2 linked regions of the Lepisosteus oculatus genome follow. The protein of the gene in region 2 interacts with the protein of the main gene of each other region in a biochemical or structural test. Links are inferred from orthologs where the notes say so. Each region holds a gene or a part of one and is shown on either strand. Other genes may lie near its edges.

The links. The genes of interacting proteins can lie anywhere in the genome.
Region 1: the proteins of mapk8ip3 (region 2) and mapk10 form a complex in vitro, tested with the Homo sapiens proteins (3 studies listed by BioGRID, with this or other methods). The link is inferred for Lepisosteus oculatus from reciprocal best matches to the Homo sapiens genes MAPK8IP3 and MAPK10.

Annotation. Positions count from the first base shown.
Region 1 is NC_090698.1:19,459,402-19,469,796, forward strand, and holds the start of mapk10 (mitogen-activated protein kinase 10), read left to right. Parts: upstream 1-5,971; 5' UTR 5,972-5,972; coding exon 5,973-5,990; intron 5,991-10,395. UniProt on the Homo sapiens protein: Serine/threonine-protein kinase involved in various processes such as neuronal proliferation, differentiation, migration and programmed cell death.
Region 2 is NC_090714.1:4,141,302-4,151,799, reverse strand, and holds the start of mapk8ip3 (C-Jun-amino-terminal kinase-interacting protein 3), read left to right. Parts: upstream 1-6,579; 5' UTR 6,580-7,610; coding exon 7,611-7,916; intron 7,917-10,498. Other genes in the region: mfsd1l (lysosomal dipeptide transporter MFSD1), read right to left, coding at 1,066-1,121, 1,845-1,969, 3,014-3,114, 4,491-4,512.

The DNA of each region.
Region 1 (10,395 bases), on a different chromosome or scaffold from region 2:
AGAGAGGGGGGAATGGTGATAAGGTTTATGAAGGGAATCGTGGAAGGTTGGATGAATACGGAGGGTTGGGGGAAGAGCGAGACGGTAAGTGACCGGGGTTATCCTGGAAACAACTCAGAAGGGGCCAATAAAGTGGGGGCCCAGCTTGTGAGAGGGTTGACGTAGAGGTATGTTCCAGGTGGACATCCACACAAACTGCCCCTTTCTGAGGCATTCTGCCTCAGGAGTCCACTTACCCTGATTGGGACCTTTGTGGGTTAAGGCCGTAATTGTCTAATAATGCGACAGTAAAAGTTAGCGAATCCTAGGAAATGTTGAATCTCTTTCAAATTCCTGGGAGTGGGCCAGTCCCAGATGGCATTGGTCTTGGTGAAATCCATGATGTAACCCAGGAAATGTATCTTAGAAACTTGAAAAATGCATTTCTCCATCTTGGCATAGAGATTGTTCTGTATAAGGCGATTAAGAACCTCTCAGAAGTGGATAATGTGCTCCTGAAGGTCACTGGAGAAAATTAAGATGTCATCCAAATAGATCAACACGAATCTATGCAATATATCCTGGAAAATGTAATTCATGAAATTTTGAAAAATGGCCAGAGTGTTGACTAAACCGAAGGGCATGACCTGATATTCATAATGGCCATGGGTGGTAATAAAAGCCGATTTCCATTCGTCTCCCTCGCGGATGTGGATGAGATTATATGTGCCGCGAAAAGCTAATTTAGAACAAAATGGTAGCACCCTGGACAGATTCTAAGGCAGCACGAATAGGAGGTAGGGGATAGTGATTCTTTACAGTAATAGCATTGAGACCGCGGTAATCTACACACGGTCTCAAAGATCCGTCCTTCTTCTCAACAAAAAAGAAGTTGGCACAAGCAGGAGAAGAGAAGAGATGGATAAAAGCTGATTTCAGAGTATCCTGGATGTAAGTTGGATAGGTGCTTTGGATTCTTGTAAAGAGAGCGGTAGATGCGCCCCCTGGGTGGTAAGGTTCCCGGGATTAACTCAATGAAACAATATAAGGTTGATGGGGGAGAAGGGAGAGTGCCTTTTGTTTACAAAAAGCCAGCTGTAGATCAGAGTAAGTGGGGGGAATAGAGAAGGAATCTTCCTTGGCGATGAGGGCAACAGAAAGTTTCTGAGGGAGTTGACAACAATGTTTAAGGCAACGAGGTCCCCAGGCTGTGATATCATGGTGAGACCAGGAGATATGAGAATTGTGTGCTTGTAACTAGGGGTAACCAAGAATGAGCGGAAGCAATGGTGATTGGAGGAGGAGAAACCAGATCTCTTCCTTGTGAGTACTGTAGCTCCAATATGAAGAGATTGAGGAATTGTCTTCCATCGAATGAGACCAGGAGACAGGGATGATCCATTAAGAATCTGGAGGCAAATGAGAGCATAGGCCGGCTGCAGGGGAATCTTCAGTGAAGAGGCGAGTCCAAGTTCCCCATGGCACCTAAATCAATGAAAGCCGGAAGAAATTTCTTGTATTTGCCCCAGGAAAGAGTTGTTGGGAGGTAGAGCACGGATGCAGAAGAAAAATTAGAAAGGGTACTGACCATGGTGGATGGAGATGAGGTGATTCCTCAAAATGCGGGGAGAGGTGGTTGTGAGAATTTGGTGACGTTTAATTGTATGCGTTCAGTTTGTGACTATGTTAAACCTACTTTTAGCCTAAACAGTAATTTATGTGTTCATGTCAATGAAGAATGAAACACAGCTGGTAATGAACCAGAAAATATGGACAGAAAAATGGCAGCAACTGCTGCCACAGTCTCCAGAAAGGAGCCAGAGGTGAGAGCATGCAGGGTGGATGATAGCCATCACCGTTGTAGGTGTGATATGGCTTCCTTGAGTGAAAGACTCCAGGTCATACTGTACCTGATTGTGATTCAGTCTTCAAAGAACTGGAAGAAGGCAGTGAGGAGATATGATGCTTTTCTGGTCTTATTCTATGGTTAGCTTGTTGCTTAAGATGATGTTGCCTTTTAGTTGCACTTAAAAATGTTTTTTCCCCATTGCCTTTTAAAGAGGGAAATTTGTGATTTTTTAATATATGTATTTTCTGAAGTTTTTAACAAAATGGCACAACTAAGTGTTGAGATTTTCAGCTCTCAAATATAGTTAGATTTGAAAAATATGATTTGCACAAACAACAACCCCTTTTTTTGCAATTTCTTACAGGAATGCCCAGAATTAAATAGTCATTAAGAATATCAGAGCAAAAACGGTGTCTTCAAAGGAGGACATTCCTTTATTGCATCTGGCACTATAATTCCTTGTATAAAATGATCTTTTCCTTTTGGTTTGTGTTTGAAGTTCAATAAATTGATAAAAGGCAAGAGTTGTAAACCTGAGAATGTAATCTAGAAAACATTTTGCCTAAATTTAAGAATTGTACTGCTTGGTTTAAATCCTGTGTAGTGAAAAATCATGTTAACATATAGTAATGAATCATCATTGTATCAGATATTCAAGTCCATGCTGTTTTTCTAGTGGCTATACTGTACCACCTTAAACCGTTCTCTTAAATCTCTTCTTTCAGCTGCTGAGCAATGTTGGGCCTGTGCATGAGAAGATCCAAAGCAATGCCCCATAGTGTTGACATGGATTACTGTGTTCTAAGAAATGTGTTTTCTTTGGATGATGTGTTAAACTGAAATCCAGTCCTCACTGTTAGCAGTACAGATCCCAAGGTACTCTTTAAAAGAGTAAGATGTTAACCCCAATGTCACTATCGACAGTGGTACTGTAGATCACGGATGCTGGCCTATTTGAAGTTGATCTATTAATAAAACTTTCAGTTGGATCTTGATCTCTTCTCTCAGGCATTGTTATAGTCAGGATGTAGTTGGTGTGCTGCTTTCATATCCACTTGATTGTATGACAGTTGGTTCATGTGCAACTATGTTTAATGACAAAGTGCATTAGGACCCTGGTTGTGATGAAAGGTCCTGTCTACAGTACGTATTAAAATACACTGTATACTGTATATATATATTTATTTCTGGATGAAAACTGTGAATTTGAAATTCCACTTTTATAATTATTTTTTGTGTTACTTTACATTTTATGATATGGTCAAGTTTTTATATTTGTAAGTTTGATTCTCCAAAATTAATTCCATTCTCAGGGCTTTTGTGCTCAAACTACAGAAGCAGGATAACAAAGTGAATGCCAGTAGTAAAATATTTATGAGGTTAACTGAGAAGGAAAGAGGGTGAAGTATCGTAAAGATGTTTTTAAATTGATGGAGGGTTTGGAACAATCTGCATTTTCTTGGTTAGATGCTCCCATGATTAATGAAGCATCATTAATTTAATTTAATTTTTATATATCAAACACTGGCTTAAAAACGTCTGCAGTGGTATATGTGATTAAAATGCCCTCATTTCCAGCATGTGCAATGCAACAGATTGTACTTGTCTCAGCGTCATTGAGCATTATTTTATATTTGTAGAAAGCTACTTGTTTTGAAGTAAAAACAGTGACTACATAATCTTCTGAAAGAAAGTGTTTTGTACAGGACAGGTCCTAATTGAATTAGAAATACAGTATGGTAATACTTCTGTCTTTACAGCTTCACCACAGAAGGGGCTTCCAATTTAAACAGGTTTTCCATTTAGAATTAAATTAAAAATACAGTTAGTAGCCTTTGTGTTTGAAGGCATTGAGGTCACTCTTAATCCTTGGAGGACAGTGTCTAGTTAAAATATAAGTGTAAAGTAGAGGTTCTGGATTTTAATAAATTTGGTACATCTCGGTGTAGGTGCTTGGATACAATTATTTGAATATTTTGTAAGTCGTTGACAGCTGTAAGGTTTTATAAAAGTGTCAAGGGGTATTAAAATGGAGGGAAAACAGAAAAACTAAACCTTTAAGTTTGCCCTGATTGACAGTATGTGGATCCATATACATGTTTACTGTTAGAGGATAACTATTTTTCCCCACTACAATTCTTCTAAATCTGTCAACATGTTTATAAAATCCAACAGATAAAAATGGGTACATGAAGATAAATTAATCTTGACAGACAGCTCAATAAAAGGTGACAACTTTGTTGCAGTGAACAGGGCGATCTTGAGGACATCTGTCAGCCCTGTACAGGGGTGTTACAGTACATGCAGCACCAGTGAAACAATATGTGAACAGACATGCTGGTCCTATAGATTTTAAGAATTCTTTGTTTATTGGTCTCATTCCTTCTGTGACAGCACTTGAAATAATAAAATAAATTATCACAATATTGCATTTATAGTATGTTTTAAGCTCTCAATTCTTAAAAAAATCTATTCTGTGTTAATATATGCCATTCCATCTGTTTGGATTGGCTTTCTGGATTTTTAAAATCTGTTGAAAAGCTTTGAAAGATTATGCTGCTCATCAGACATACATGTATAGAATTAGGCCTACTAATGGGAATGATGACTAATCTTTATGTAGGGCTGTTCAGCTTATGGTTATTGTGCTTTGTCAATATGTAGTAACATTAACGCATTGTCTGATCTGTTTATGTGTGAATTGGTTCTAATACAAACATTCTTTGATATAATGCAATTTGACCTTTTTGTGTTTTAGCAATAAATCATTCAGTGATAAGACCTCTGTTCTTTGTTTGCTTTATGTTACTGTAATTGTTATTGGTTTACTTAGACCGAAACTATATAACAAAGTAGATCATACAGTATCTGATGTGAAAGTGGACCACACCTCCCACTGCACTCCCCACTCTGCGGCGTGTGGGAATGCACAGCTATCACACTGGAAGCTAATCAAGACTGCGCTTTAACCCCCACGCGCCTGCAGACGGGGTTCATCATAGAACTGAATGTGTTCCCCTCACCGGCGACACAAACATTTACTCTGATCCACAAAAGGATTCTCACCTTTACTAGAGAACAGAACATTGGCAGACGGTTACACACCGGCACACCGCACAGAAAACAACAAGCGCTCTGCCGGTGCTCAGGCAGCTTCCTATTACATCCGACACTATCACACTGAGGACAATCAAATGTCTTTATTTCCCACTTTTAAGTGTCAGTTCTGGAGCAGTACCACCGGCTAAATCTAAGTGTTTCCTCAAAAAGGTTTTTTATTGTAAGATCACATTTTTGTACGGGAGTTATACAATTATACAGTAGTTGCACTGTATTGAGGTATTCTGTAACAATAAACTACAAAACTACAAAAAGTACAAAAGCCTAGACAGACCCAAGGAGACATTAGTAAAGGACAAGCATGAAAACCAACTACACCTCTTTGGTAACACTTGGGATTAAGTTGTATAAAATGTTTAAATAGATATTCTATTCATAAGCATGTCAGATGATTGTCGGTTCCCTAGAATGTGAACAACGTACTCATAGATACACTGTATTGATTATGCTACCCTGAACTCTGACCATAGCACTAATCCTAACCCTGACACTAGTCTTAATTGAAACTCATCTCCACTGAATATCTATTGATTTTTGTTAACGTTCTATAGCACCCTGAGTTTTAAGATTTGAATGTGCATTAAATCTTTATTCATCCATTTTAGCCTAAAGCATGACCATCTATGGTCCCTTAAAAGAGTTAAAATAGCTCTTTTAACAGCTTGGATTTATTTGGGTGGGAGGTACTGCCCAGCTCACATACTGTAGCTGTGCTCATTTGCTCTGCTCTCAAGTTAATATTCAGAGCTTTTTGTATAAAAGAGCATACAAAGAAAGAAAAAAAAGCCCATGTACATTTTTAAGTGGATGGTTAAAGGACATACAAATGATTCAATCTGTATTTTGACTTTAATGTTTTTGTTACTAAGTGTTTTCAAGCTCAACACTTAAAATTCAGCATTGTTTCAAAGTTTTCATGAAATGGCTGTGTGTAACACAATGTTTCCTATTTAGCAAGAAAACAGGAAAAGGTCTGACAGGAATACACCATTTTGTTGGCACAGCATCAAGAGTGTAATAAATAATGGAGCTACAGGATGAGGTAGTTAAATTGTTGTTTCTAGATCTATCTTGTATAGAGTACTATTCCTTTCCTTAAAATTGCTTAAATTTATCACTTGCCTTCTTTAACATTATTTATTGAATATTATACTCCATAATGGGCTCTGTTTTTGTGATCCCTTATAAAATGTCTACCTTAAATTTAAAAGATTTTAATTGCCATGAACTCTAAAGAAAGAGGATAGACACCTGTTTGTATGCTATCATTTTCATACAGTACATCCATGTTATGAAGAGAGCTAACCAAATCCACAGACCAATCTCTACAGTTGAATTTCACAATCATTTTATAGTTATTTAAGATATTTCATTGCTGTTTGAAGAGCAAGTCTGTTGAAAGTCAATTAAAATGAAAAATTAGTCCGATGAGTTCAAATCTCATTAATCGTGAATGAATCAGACAAAGGGCACATCAAGTAGCTCTCCTGATGTAGCTACTCATCTTTGACAAGCTGAACAGGATTGGTAAACTTAACTTTCACTTCTAAAAATGTAAACTGAAAAGATATTTTTAGTGAAGGCACATTAACTGAAAGGTTTTTGGTATGTATGTATTATTTTTATATACATTAAAGTTACTGTATATTTTCTTTACATTCATACCATGATTATTTAGTGAGTACTGTAAACTTTGGCAATAGAAGTGTTATATGCAGGTGTACTGTAAATTAAAAGAAATATGCAACCATTTAATTTATTTTAATTCCCTGGACATTGTTTTCCTTTTCTTATAAACTAATATTAAATACAGTGACCAACTTAATTTAAATTGTAATTATTTATTTAAAAGTTGTTTCTGTATTTAATCTTAGTATATTGTTACAGTATATATTTGCAGCTCTGTAAACTACACAATAATATAGCTTTTGGTCTGCTCCACCTGGAATTAATGTCTGCAGATTTTCTAAGATGAAAAAAGCTGGCTGTTTACATCAATAGAATATGCTCAAAGATTCACGCTGTACTGCACTTGTATATGATATATAGATTATATTTTGTTTTGCTGCAGGGCGTGACTATTCAGAAAAAAATATCTAACACTTTTCCTTATTGTTATTAATATGCAGTTCATGAAATACATTGCTTGTAAATCAGGTTCAGCTTTACAGTGGCTGGGATGAATAAACAGCATTTGCAGTAGTCAGCCTTTATACTTGTTTAATCCATCAAAACATTTGATATTTTATTCTCAATACTTGCTGTTTCTTATTAATAACCTTATTTATATTAATCTACTGTAAGTTTTAGTTTTTTCTTTTGTGTGTGATCTGCATTTAAAATGCTTATACATATTACACACCCTATGGAACACAGACAATTTTGAGAAAGGAAGTCTATGAAAAGGCTTTTACTTTTAACCCATATTCTTTTATCACCTACTTAACTTCATCAAGGTCCCTGTGTGATCTTGAAAGCCTGGAAAATATGAAACTTTGCAGCCCCAGAAAAGTTGTCCTAGAAAATGTAATGGAAAATAAATAACTTATTTTTAATTTACAGACCTACAGAAGTGTTGAGCAGACAATTATGTACTTAAACACTCGGGAAACATAGTTAATATTTTATTTTTTGTATATTGTGGTTATTTGAAAAGTGAAAAATTCATTCGGATCAAAATAAGCTCAATTATTGTACAAAAATGCTGATTTCACTTAGAAATGTACGGACAATTATTCTAGTGAAATTGAATCCAGAGAACCCTGCTTATTTTTGATTGTTGCCGAGATAGAAAAAGCCATTAAGACAGTCACCAGCCCTGATCAATGTCCGTTTTATTTCACCTGGTCCTGCTCTGTATTATAAGTAAGTATTACATCATACTGTATGTATTATTAAGTACCCAGCTGATGGTACTTCCCTTCGGGAGTGTCTTCCTTTGTACCTCATGTAAATCATTAGACACTGTCAGCTGCACTTTTGCTATTTGTAGCCATCCTGGAAGAATACCAGTGAATTTAGTGTAATTTCATATCTAAGTGTCTTTAAGACCAGACAAAGTGTCTAGGTTAGGATGTGAATGAACAGGTATTCAATTCAGTTGTTTTCCCTGATGGGGCTGGAACAAGGTGTTGTTTAGTAGGACTGGGCTACTGTTCAAACAATCAGACACATGGCAGGTTGTAGGTTTTGTGGTTGGAGATGGAGGGAAAGTCTAATATGGGAGATGAGCAAGGATATTTTTTTTGCTGAATAATGTTTCCTCTCTGCAAGTAGCGAGAATATCTTGAAGTGGCAAGAGTATGTGGTAAGAGCAAAAAGAGCCAATAAATGTATTCTGCCAGAGTTTGACATATTTGTAGTCAGTTCCATCCCCTTCATTCAGCAGACTCAATTTTACTGTGGTTTTGAGCTGAATGTTTTGCAGGTTCTACCAGTTTTCAATTGGATTGAGATGTACTATAGGGCATTTTTCTACTTGGAGAAGTTGAGAGAAATCTGTCTCATGGTTCTCATGTCAATAACAATAACAGGTCAGTAATATCACCCTGCAACAGGTTAGCAGCCATATCACCCTGCAACTCACAACTGGCAACCCACTGAAGCTAAGCAGGCGTGAGCCTGGTCAGTACCTGGATGGGAGACCTCCTGGGAAAAACTAAGGTTGCTGCTGGAAGAGGTGTTAGTGGGGCCAGCAGGGGGCGCTCACCCTGCGGTCCATGTGGGTCCTAATGCCCCAGTATAGTGACGGGGACACTATACTGTAAACAGGCGCCGTCCTTCGGATGAGACGTAAAACCGAGGTCCTGACTCTCTGTGGTCATTAAAAATCCCAGGGCGCTTCTCGAAAAGATGTCCTGGCCAAATTTCCCCCCCCTGGCCTTTACCCCATCATGGCCTCCTAATAATCCCCCTCTATGAATTGGCTTCATTACTCTGCTCTCCTCCCCACTGATAGCTGGTGTGTGGTGAGCGTTCTGGCGCACTATGGCTGCCGTCGCATCATCCAGGTGGATGCTGCACATTGGTGGTGGTGGAGGGGAGTCCCCATTACCTGTAAAGCGCTTTGAGTGGAGTGTCCAGAAAAGCGCTATATAAGTGTAAGCAATTATTATTATTATTATTATTAGTAACACAAAAGACCACTCAGAGGGCTTGCTCATTTGACTGAGGTAAATATTTTGGCTATTAATTCTTCTATGCACTCCTATTTCATTTTTGCGCTCATAATCACAATATAGACATTGTCCATGGCATGAAAATACGGTAGTGTGTAACGTCCCAGTGTGTGTTCTGTGTGTTTTTTCTGTTATGTCCACACTGCTGACCCTTGATTGTTCTCCCTTCCCCATTGGCCAAACATCACACCACTGTTTCAATATGATGTCATCACCAATCAGCCCTCAGCCAATCAGAACTCATTTTATTCTCTATTTAACATGGAGGCTTTCAGGCAGAAAAGGCCTTTCGTTTGACTTTGGTCCCGTTTGGTTTTGGTTATCGCTTTGCTTCGCTTCTGGTTATTGCTTTGGCTTCGTTTGTTGGTTTGTTTTGCTTTGTGTGTGTGTGTGTATTTTCGTATATCTTCGGCTTTGTTGTTTTGCTGGTTTTATGTTAGTTTCTTTGCACTTTCGTTTGTTTGTGTGTTCATCCTTGTTTTGTCATTACCTTGCCCCAGTGTTACAGTACATGTTCAACTTTTGTGTTCTTTTGTACCCTGCTCCTATTGATTATTTGTATTCCTGGTTCACTTGTGTTTTTGTGTGAACTTTTGTATATAAGGTTAGTTTAGGTTGTTGGGTACACTTACACACTTAGTTGATTTTGTATTAGTACACTAGTTTAGTACGGGTGAGTGCCATTTGTCTTGTATGGTTTTGGGTAGTCAGTGCAGGTTAGCTAGGGTTTTGAAGACGCAGAAGTTTGTGTTTCAGGTTTTCTTTTGTAGTCAGATTAGCTTTCCCTCACTGTCCTAGCCAGCTCCATTTTGTTTGTTATTTTCTTTCCTTTGGCACCACTCTAGTTCCTTACCCTTCTCACGCTTCCTAGTCCCTCACCAAAACCCACCTGCTTCCAAAAGAATTATCCTAAATGTTACACCCCTTTACCCCTAGACACTTGGGGTAGTAACATAGTGCTTGAAGCTTTGGAAGTCCTCATGATTGTTAATTAGTCCTGATTAATAACTCATTCTAACAAGTTGCTGAACTAATGGCATCCTTGGCATATGATACAATATAATGCTAGTTTCAGGCAGTATCAATTGAGTGACTAGACCCTATCAAAATGACATTTATTTCATATTTATATCCTAAACCTGTACTGTAATAAAAGCATCAAAAGACACGCAGACAGCTTTCAATGTTCCTTAAGTATACTAATTGTGCACCATTACAGTCAGAACAATTAGTTTTGTCACTTAACACTTTCAATCATATTGATTTGAA
Region 2 (10,498 bases):
ACATCCTCCATTGTGAGTCTTAACCTTGTGGGTTTCAAAGTTCGGGTTTTATCTCAAGATAGTAACTAATCTTTAAGATCCATGTCCATGTTGCTTTGGAAGCCACTGTTCTGTTGAAAGGCGTGCTTGAATTGGATCAACAGTATGAACACAGCTCTGCAGGACTGAGATTGCACTGACTTGGGCTGCATGTTAAATGACTCCCACTTGTGTTTAAAGCACAGAAGCTGCATACTGGTCTTGCACCAGTGTTACTAGTTTTTTATATACAATAACTAATGAAAACTGCTCTATTCAAAATCATAGCCTTGTTAACAACAAGGAGCTGTGTCTCTGATGGTGTGATAGGAATGCCTTAAGAAACTGTGCTGTCTGAGCTACTGTATCTTTTTCCCAGTAGTGAGACAGGAGTTTACATCTGCACCCATAAGCCCAGCAAACAAACACTGGTAAATCAGCTGCAATAATGATAGGGCACTCTTTTATGCTTGGTTGATATTCATTGGTTAATATTTAAGCCACCTGAGTAAATAAACATTCTAAAGGTCACACTGGAGGTAGCGGTCATCCTTGAAGGATGGATAGGTTGTTGAACGAGTCAATTATTTGTGGGTCAACCCATCTCCCCCCACCCATCCCACTGGAGCACTTATGATAAAAGACGAACCCCCACTGAAGGTGCGGACTCTTTCCAAATCCAGTGAACACAAAGAACCCAGTGACCTACAACACAAAATGACATAATTCAACTGGCGTCTACCCCTCTTTTTGCAGATCTCTGAGTGAAAGTGCCTGGGGCCTACAAACACCAAAATCTGGCCCTGCTCATAATTTGCTCTGACGTGCAAAGACAAGCCAGAAGGTTTTTGGAACCATTTAACTGAGGTTTATGAGTAGATGTTAACCCTTCACAAAAGCTATGGAAAGGTGTGAAAGTATAGAGAAATAACAGCAAACCACAGCACAGAGTCTGGGGACCCCTGCTCTACAGTCTGTTCTGTGTGTGCTGGGACCCTTTTGCTTAATAAGAGCAGTACGCATGCAGAGCTTCAGTGCATCACTCACAGCGGTTTCCCAGCTTGTCGATGAGGAAGCCAGCCAGGATCACCACCACTGCATTGCTGTGAAAGACAAACAAGGGAGGTGCCATTACAACAGTGTCTGCAGAAACAGTGAAAACAGCAGAGGAAGTGCTTTTAGCAAAAAGCCAGGCTTTATTAACATTTCTGTAATGCCTCCCAGCCTTTAAAAGTGTTACACAGCCTAGTTACACAGCCCCCAGGAAAGAGTATTTCCAACAACTGTGATAAACCGATCATTTTCAGCTCCCAATTTCAAAGCCTAAAGAATATTCTGTTCAAATTACTCTAGATTTCGGCATCTCTGTTATTATGTAAGGGAAAGGAGCAAGGACAAAATATGAATGTTACCCAGATCCCATATTTTAAAGGACTTTAAAGGACTTTAAATGAAACTATGCAAAAGAAATAAAACTAATTCTATATCTACGAGTTTATACTTCTCCTTTCACCATAAAAAGTGCTTCACTGACATAAGGCAGTTTAATTTTAGAAACCCTTCAATGGAATTGTATGACACATTAGGTTAACTGAAAGACGTTTTCGAAATCTTTTTTTTTTAATAAAAATGCTTTAGCTAAAAAGATGGTGCTTTGCAATATATCATATTACCAAGTTATTAAACAAAATAGCAGAATACTGCAGAGGGAGAGAGCTATGGTTCATTGGACTCTAGTAGCTTAAAAAGACAAACTAACACAGTGTTCTGCTATGTGCCATCTTGATGGGTGCGAGTCAGCATGACCGCAGGGGTGCGAGACTCACGTCCAGGCGTAGATGGCGTAGAGAAGGTTGTATTCCTGGGGAGTCATCCCCAACCCCTCCACACACTCTCCGGTCCCATCAGGAGCTGAGCCGTTCGCTACCATTGCATTAGGACACGTCAGGTTCTGAGCAGAGGAAACAGCTGGTGAAATTTCAAGTCCAAGGCATGTCCCTAGCTGATCAGCCAGCACGTTTGAAGACATCTGTAGTGACAAGCCACCTGGAGCTACCCTTGAGCTGCCTGTCCTCCGTACACAGAATGAAGCAAGGACTCAAACTGTCAAGACACTTAATTCAACAAGTCCTACATGATCTGCTTCAGACAATCCCGGAGCACCAGGTTATTTCCCAACAGTAACAATTCTTGCATTTCTTGCTCTTTTATCCCAAAAGAGCCCAAAGTGCTTTACGTGTAAGAGCCTACCCCCTTCATCAGTCACTGAAGTGCAGCCCCACTTGTCAGCGACCTGTGACAGTCATTGTGTGCCAACCCCACCCCCCTGCACATCAGGACAAGGAAAGAAGTGAAAAATTACTTCAGGAATCGAATTCAGAGAGAAGTCTAGGTAGGACAGCCCCGGCTAGCTGGCAGAGCATCAGACTCATAATCTCGGGGTAGTGGGTTCGTGTCTCACGTCGGGCGCCCGGTCCTCCATGTTGGAGGTTGGGCACAAGGCTAACAACCCTGTCCCATAAAAAACAAATGTTACAGTAACAGCAACAGGATTTGCTGGAAGGCATAACAGGCAAACATCCATCCATCCATCTAGGTAGGACAGATTGTGCAAATCAGAAGTGGGGATTAGTCAGCACACCAGGGTTAATGCCCTTACTCTTACAAACAGTTCCACAGGACTGGTAATGACCTGAGTCAGACCTTAGTCAAACCAGCTGACAAGGTGGCAACATTGCCATAGTCTCGCTGGAGGACAAGAGCATGTCACACACGTGACACGCATGACCACAGCAGCTTCGGTGACCATCTCTGTCCACGTAGGGTGCAAACGAAGGGCCAGCAGCCGCCTTCTCTAAATCGCACAGGACCGGGGGGAAAAAAAGCGTTTAAATTCAGATGGGAGAACCTCATTTGCTCGGTGACGTCGGAAGGCTAGGCGATCGCACCAGAGCCCAGGGTCGGTCAGTCTCTGGCCTACTGCTCACTCACTCACCCCCTGGAACTGGTCCTGCAAGACACTGGGGATGTCGAAGCAGAAGTAGGAGCCGAACGTCAGCAGGCAGTTGAAGAACAGCACCAGGAATCTGTAAAATGCTGCAAAAAGAAATGTGGCGTCACAACTCCAGGTAGCAATTAAGGCCGTAAGGCCACAAACCTTTTTTTTTTGCGTTCCCCGTTTTTATTGCTGCTCTTAATTAAAAGTTAAGAATGGTCAGAACCTCAAGAAAAAGTGAAAGACGTATCAGTATCGCACTATTACTGACAGCGAACACATTGCTGTAAATACTGCACACTGCACCATGTAGCAGTGACATTTAGCAAATATACAAATAGGGTTCCTGAGCAACACCTGTGAAAACTGAACATCTGCCTTTTGCTGTAATTTACATGGGGAAGGCTAATTTGTTTCAGTTTGCAAGCTGATGCATCTTTTTTCCCCCTAAATTTGCTTTCAGCCCTCAGGCCAAATGCGAATTGTAATGGATAGTAGCTCTACAATAGCAAGGGGCAGTTGCCTGCCACTCACTCTCAAGAGCAGCCCAGGCAAAATAAAAGAAGAAAATTAAGAGGTGGCTGTATAGAATTTTGTACAATCTGCATGAAGCAGAGTATTTGAAACCACCACAGGTAAGAAAGTGTCTTCTTTACCTGATGTTTGTGAACAAACAGATCAATTAAAGGGATACCTCCAGCGGCCAGGGGCTCACCTGGATTAAACACCACGGGGATACCCCATCAGTGTCCCCCTGATCACATTCAGAAGGCGTAGCGCCCTCTGGTGAGTACTGTCCTGAAAAGAATCCATTCCATTTACTTTTGTAAACTAGGTCTGAACTCAGGCAGCTGCTTAATTCCACATGACACCCACCTCCCAACGCTATAGAGTGTTTCTAAAAAGAACAGAGCGCTTACAAACGAGAGTAAAAAAACCAAAATGTAACAAAGATAAAACCCAGCATCTCCGCTTTCGTCAAAGAAGTCCCACGCATCGCTAAGGGACATACAAAACAACATCTGCGCTGTGCAAAAAGTAAAGGGAGCGAATTTGTAACGTGTTTCCAGTTTAGAGACAATTTCTATTTCTGAAGCTGGGGATACAGTTGGAGATTTGGAATTGCGCTGAAGAACACAACAGATATTTTAATTTTTAAAAAAGCAAAGTGTTTCTAAAATGCTTCGGAAATCTTTGTAGCGATGGGGGTAGACCCAGCAGGGGCAAACATTCACTGTAGCTCAGGCGTTAGGAATCGAGAGGAAAAATATTCCTGTTAGCATGAAAAAGAGACTTTACAGACGCGAAGCTAGTAGACTTTGACTTTCACCATTATTTTTAAATCATCCGGGAAAAGAAACATTAGCAATTCCCAGATGCAACCACATCTGGGGATTGCTACCAGCGTTTCCGATTACCCTAAATCACCCGGTGCTCTTGACCCGTATGTTTAAAAAACGCGACCAACTTTACTGACCTTTTTCCGCCGGCTTGCCCATGATAAACAACTGCAGGTCCAAGCTGTACCTGTGTAACTGATCAGCTGCTCATTCTCCCCTCTGCCTCCCAGTTCAGATCGCACCTGCTCATGTGCCTGACGTCACGCCGTGCACATCACTTTAAAGACAGAGGGTTGCATTTTGGCTAGCTGCACAATCCTCACGATCTCATCGGTGTGCCCGGAGATACAGACCCCCACTAACATAACTAAACACACTCGCCTGATAGGTTTCACGTGATTTTTGAAGCCTGCCTTTCTTCCTGTAAAAGCCTACAGGATGTCTCTAAAAAATGCATTAGCTCTGCTTTCGCGAAGTCATTACAAGTCGTGCCTCTCTGTTTCTTTCTTCCAGTTACATGATGTAATTCCACTTATTTCGGCAGGGCGCTGTTCTTCATACTGTATTTCTGATGCAACTTTATGAGCGGTAGATCAACCAACCACTCATTCCACAGAAACTTTCATTCAAAACAGGTGAAGGAAGCCAACAAATACGGGAGCCAAGAGCTACGAAACAACAGAGCTACCCCCCACCTCTTCACGACCCTATAGCTCAGGTTCCCTTCCTGAGGGATAATCAGTGTTTTGGGCACTGCCTTTATTTCGGGTCCCAGAGAACATAAAAACATTAACAATATTACTTGTAACTGAAACAAAGCTTACCCACGTAAATGAAAATGTAAATGAAAATGAACATTACCAGTTGTGCCGCTGCATAAGAAGAAATGTATCCACATTCCTAGATAATATTACGAAACTCGAACATCACTGAATATGATAGTGTGATAAACTCTGAAGATTTTACCAGAATTAAACGTTGTGTAGAGCAAATTAACCGTTACCAACCTGTAAATAAAGAATATTAAGAAGGTTATAGAGAATATAGAGAAGGTTAGCTCTCGTTTATTTAAAGAGCGCGACATACAAACCGCTCTTCTGTGATTCCCGAATTGTATTTGATGCTGACCAACATCTACAACAAGATGGATTTTTTCCTGCAGTTTAGATAAGCACTGCAGCTGACTTGAGGCTGCGATCTGCGTCGTGCTCCCTGTTCTACAGAGACGAGAAATTCAGATCTTGTGGCAAAGGTGCTGCAGCCGAGCTCACTTTGACCATATTTGAGGCGAACTCTTAAATTCAATAAACTGAAGTTCAAATGTGAATGTGGATTATACTACCTTGAACCCGTTTCACTATTTTTGAAGCAAAAACGATTTTGTCACCGTTATATATATGAATATGTTCACGAACAGCAGTGGAAATTAAAATCGTTTTTTTAATGTTTTAACCCTTTCATTTCAGAAACATTCAAACGTGATGAACGCTAACAAGTGCTCTCTTTTGCTATGGCGTGTCCAGTACTTGATGTGTTTTAGACAATACAGGCGTGGTCTTCATAAATGTTCCATGAGATAGCCGGGTTTTAACAGCACTGTCCCGTATTATTTTAATTATATTTTAATTATAACCTGGAGGGAACAGGACCGTTTTTTGTTCAATATTGCAGGAAAAAAACGTTGGTCGAGAGACGAGGTTTTACGTTGTTGCACATTTACCAAGAGGTGAAAATACAGGGCGTGTCATGAGCCGTGAATTGGCAGGGAATTGTACTGAAGGGAAAGTGTAGTGGGCACCACTGCCATTTTATCTACTTTAATTTTGTATATTGTATAGCATCTTTCGACGAGAAGGGAACATCATAGGTGTATTACATGTCCCTCAGAACGCTAAAGCAACGCAGATTTTGTGTTCACTGTTTGAGACGTTATTTGCTGTTTCTGTTGTCGGTTAGAGATAGCAGTCCGAGCAGTTCGTGATGTGCACGTTTAGGCATGAATTCGTCTCTGGGGCTCCTCATCTCAGAAGACATATATAGGATAGATGGAGTGGACTGTATCTTTGCCAGGGCGAAAATAAAGAACATTGCGTTGTTGTTGTTGTTGTTGTTAAAGCAGAAATAAAAATGAGCTGCTAATCGATTCCATTCCCTCTCTTCACTGGTCACTGCTTTTGCTGTGTGACGCAGCACGTTGGCGAAGCCCACCGAGCCCTCTTGCTACCAGGGGATGGGTCCGCGCAGCGACCGTGAGCACCGCAGACAACAGTGACCGCTCTGGCCGGCTGGGGGGCTGCGGGCTGGGGAAAACGCGCTCTCACGCCGGCCGTGACTGCGCGGCGAGGACGAGACATCCCGGCTCGGCCGGAGCCTGCTCGCTGCAGACGGCGTGACGTCAGCCGCCTCGCTCAGCCTGGGAGGATCCCGACAGCGCCGCAGAAAACGGCATCGCCTAACCCGGTCCAACCCGGGGAAGCGGACTGGAGCCGGACTGGACCAAAATATGATTTAAAGGGGAAAGAGGGAGGCAGGGGAGGGAGCACGCAGGGAACGGCGGCTTTCAGCTGATTTCATGCGTGTCATCAGTGCTCGCAGCGATGACTGGACTGCGTGGTTGCTGACCGGCAGGTGCATTGTGAGGCACGTTTATTTATTATTTTAATTAGAAGCCTCGTTTTTTTTTTGCGTTCCGTTTTAACCTTGTTTTTCCTGTCCGGGAAAAAAACAACAACAAAATGGGCAGAAACAAACTGCACCGCTTTCGCCTGGAAAGGGATGCGGGCTTCGCCGAGAGCAAGACGCGACCGGGAACCATCTAGAAGCCCCCATCCAGGCCGCCGCGCCGGGCGACACGGGGAACAGGGAGAGTCCTGGCCCCTGCATGCGTTCAACTACAGCGACAGAAATATCGGGTTTTAGCCGGCGGAAACGATGCGCGTCGCCCTGGTCTCGGAATTCAGGGGCTGAAAAAAAAAAAGCGGATTTCGGGACCTGCAGAGCATCACCTGAGCCACTGAAAGCGAACGCGTCTGCGTCGCTCCCAGCCCGATAAAGACTGGAACGAAAAAAGGCGAAATATATTTAGACGGGCGAATGACATTTTGGGGCTTGAATTAAAAAAAAAACACCGGTATATCACATTAAATTCCTCTATATTTGAGGGTTTTGTTTTTTTCTCCCCCGGAACTGCGCTGGTGGTGGTCGTGGTGGTGGAGTAGGGGGGGCGTCCGCCCGTGTTATCGGAGCCTCTTGCCAAGATGATGGAGATCTCGCTCGACGAGGTGGTCTACCAGGATGACTACGGCTCGGTGTCGGTCATGTCGGACCGGGTCTCCGGCCTGGCCAACAGCATCTACCGCGAGTTCGAGCGCCTCATCCGCAGCTACGACGAGGAGGTGGTCAAGGAGCTGATGCCGCTGGTGGTCAACGTGCTGGAGAACCTGGACTCCGTGCTGACCGAGAACCAGGAGCACGAAGTGGAGCTGGAGCTGCTGAAGGAGGACAACGAGCAGCTGCTCACCCAGTACGAGAGGGAGAAGGCGCTGCGCAAACAGGCGGAGGAGGTGCGGTAGACCGGCACTGGCTCCCCGTGTTGCCGTAATTACACCTGGAAAGAGCACCGCCTTTCAGATAGCCCACCGCACTTTGACATCACTGCATGTGTGCGGGCCCTTGATCCGCATAGATGCCGTTATTGCTGAGGTATCTTTAAAAAAAAATGGTCTCTCACGACTGCTGGCTGATGAGCAGCGTTCGAGTGAGTCATTCAATTAACGCCCACATCGGTAACGGCTTATTCTACTAACTTGGTCAGTATCTTTAGGGTTCCGGTCATTTTCTTCCAAAGTGTACTGTCATCGCCTTGTAGTCAATGCACAGACCCGCAGTCATAGGTTGGGAAATGTATTTATTTAGGAGTTTCTTATACACCCGAGCGATTCGCTGACCTATGTTTAAAAAACCCCCATCGATTATAACTTTTCAAATGTACTTCACTGCGCACGTCAACAGACGCCCGAGGCTCACCTAACCCCGAGCTTCTTGGGCCCTGGCTAAAAACCGCTTTCAAGCAAAAGAAAAACAAGTTTGTGAACCCTAGCATCTTTGTGTTTTTTTTTTCTCGGTTGTAGCAATTACAGTACGTTATCTTCCAAATTACAGCCTACCCTTTCACTCCATCTTCATTTTCTGTCCTAAACTTAGGGGAAAAAAAGGAAGATTAAAACTAACACGCCTGAAATTGAAGGTGATCATAGGGATTTGGTAGAGACAGTGTGGAGTATAGGTGACAGGCAGACAAACGGTCACTGCGACATATTTACATTACACAAGACAGCTTTCTGGGATGCTGGTTTAAATGTGAAATGGCTTTAAATGTTTCACCTGGGTCTGATAGAGGGAGCGACTGTTTAAAAATGTACCTAGATATCTAGTAAGCAGCTGGTGGTAAGTGGTCAATTGCTAAAATGAGGGATAAAGACAGACCTCCACTACGTTTTCTTATCACTTGTATGCTATCTTTCTATTCCCGTGTACTGCTGCTAAACGGATTCATAAAGAGGTTGCACGCAGGCGTAAACACAGCTACTCCCAGTCAGGTTAAGGGGATGCGTTGCCGTATTTCTAACCTCAGGCTGCTAGACTATTTCTATTTCATGATCATCTTGTCACCACAAGATGGTATCTTGTCCAGGAGCTGCTAAATCATGTTTTAATCAGCTCAGTTATCATCTTCTCTGTGATAATTAGGCTTTCTGCTCTTTTTTTGGGGGGGGCAAGATCTGGAGAAGCGTGCTCAAAAGCCGTGAGATAATTATATTAATATAAAGACTTGCCCCATAGTAGTTTCTTAAATGTATAGCCAAGACGCGACCCCTTGAAACGCAACAATTGTATAGCGACGAGGGTGCGTCTGTGAGCTTTAGTCACGACGATACAGCTGCTGTAGTTCAGACACTGGGCGTATCAAAACGTCTCTTGCTTTTCTCCGCCGGTTGAAAAACGTGTTCGAATTGCCGCCTGTATCAGCTGACAACTTTCAAAGACGCATTTTCATATTATGACGCCTGTCTTATTTTAAGGTTATGACGTGAACGTCTGTTATCAGGTTGCATCCAAACATCTAGGTTATCTTCTGTTTGGATTTGAATATGTTGGGTTTGGTTTGTCCGAATTCTTTCCGTTTCTCTATTGCTGCTGAATGTTGCATTTTTACTTGTAGTGGGAAAGTAACGTTATATTAAGGACATAGGTGCAGAAATGGACAGGAGCAGCGTTTATTCGTCTTTAGCATGACGATTCCACGCCACCTGATTACCTAGTGCTTTGTGTGGTAAATTGTGCTTTCCGATTCGTCATCTTTACATCTTGAACGTTAAAGTCTAAACGAGGTTTGTAATACGTTTAAGACAGTTGAACGTATTGAAAAATATTGTGAAGTTTCAGCTGCCGTGTTTGAAAGCGAGTTCTTTTAAGCCCTTTAATGAGAGTTGGGTTGCCAAGCGACCTTTTAAAAAACTGTTTGGCACTCCGCTCATGGTAATGGCTCTATTAAGCCTGGTGATTCTAATTAGTTTCTATTGTGATGGACACAGTCATGCTGTCGGTTTTACTCATTTGGAGCTGTAGCTGTGGGAGTACAGTACATGAAACATACTGTGCATGCATTATTAATTTATCTGGCTGAAGCCATTTACATTTGGGTACAGCTGGGCATTTTACTGGAGCAATCAGAGCTGAACCTTGTTCAGGAGTCTAAAAGCAGTATCCTACCTGGGATTTGAATTCCAAACCCTCCAGTTATAACACTGGGATCTGCACTACAAACCAGCTACTGAGTCGTGGTTTATTCCCTCTAGTGGAATTTAAAATCAGTCACGTATTGGCTTGGCTGGTTTCAGACCTGCACATGTCTGCACATTCTTCATTTCCCACCTGCGCCAGGTGAGAAAGAGCCTCGGGCGGCTGGGGGGTTCGTGCTGTCGGCCGAGGCTGCTCAGGCAGCAGGCCCAGGTGCTGGTGACAAGCCACCTGCCAGTGGTGACAAGGAACACAGGCAAGCCTGGCTTGTTGACCACTGGCATCGGCGTTGACGTACTGTGGTGGGAAATTCCGAATAACAGAATACGAACTTTCCATACCTGGG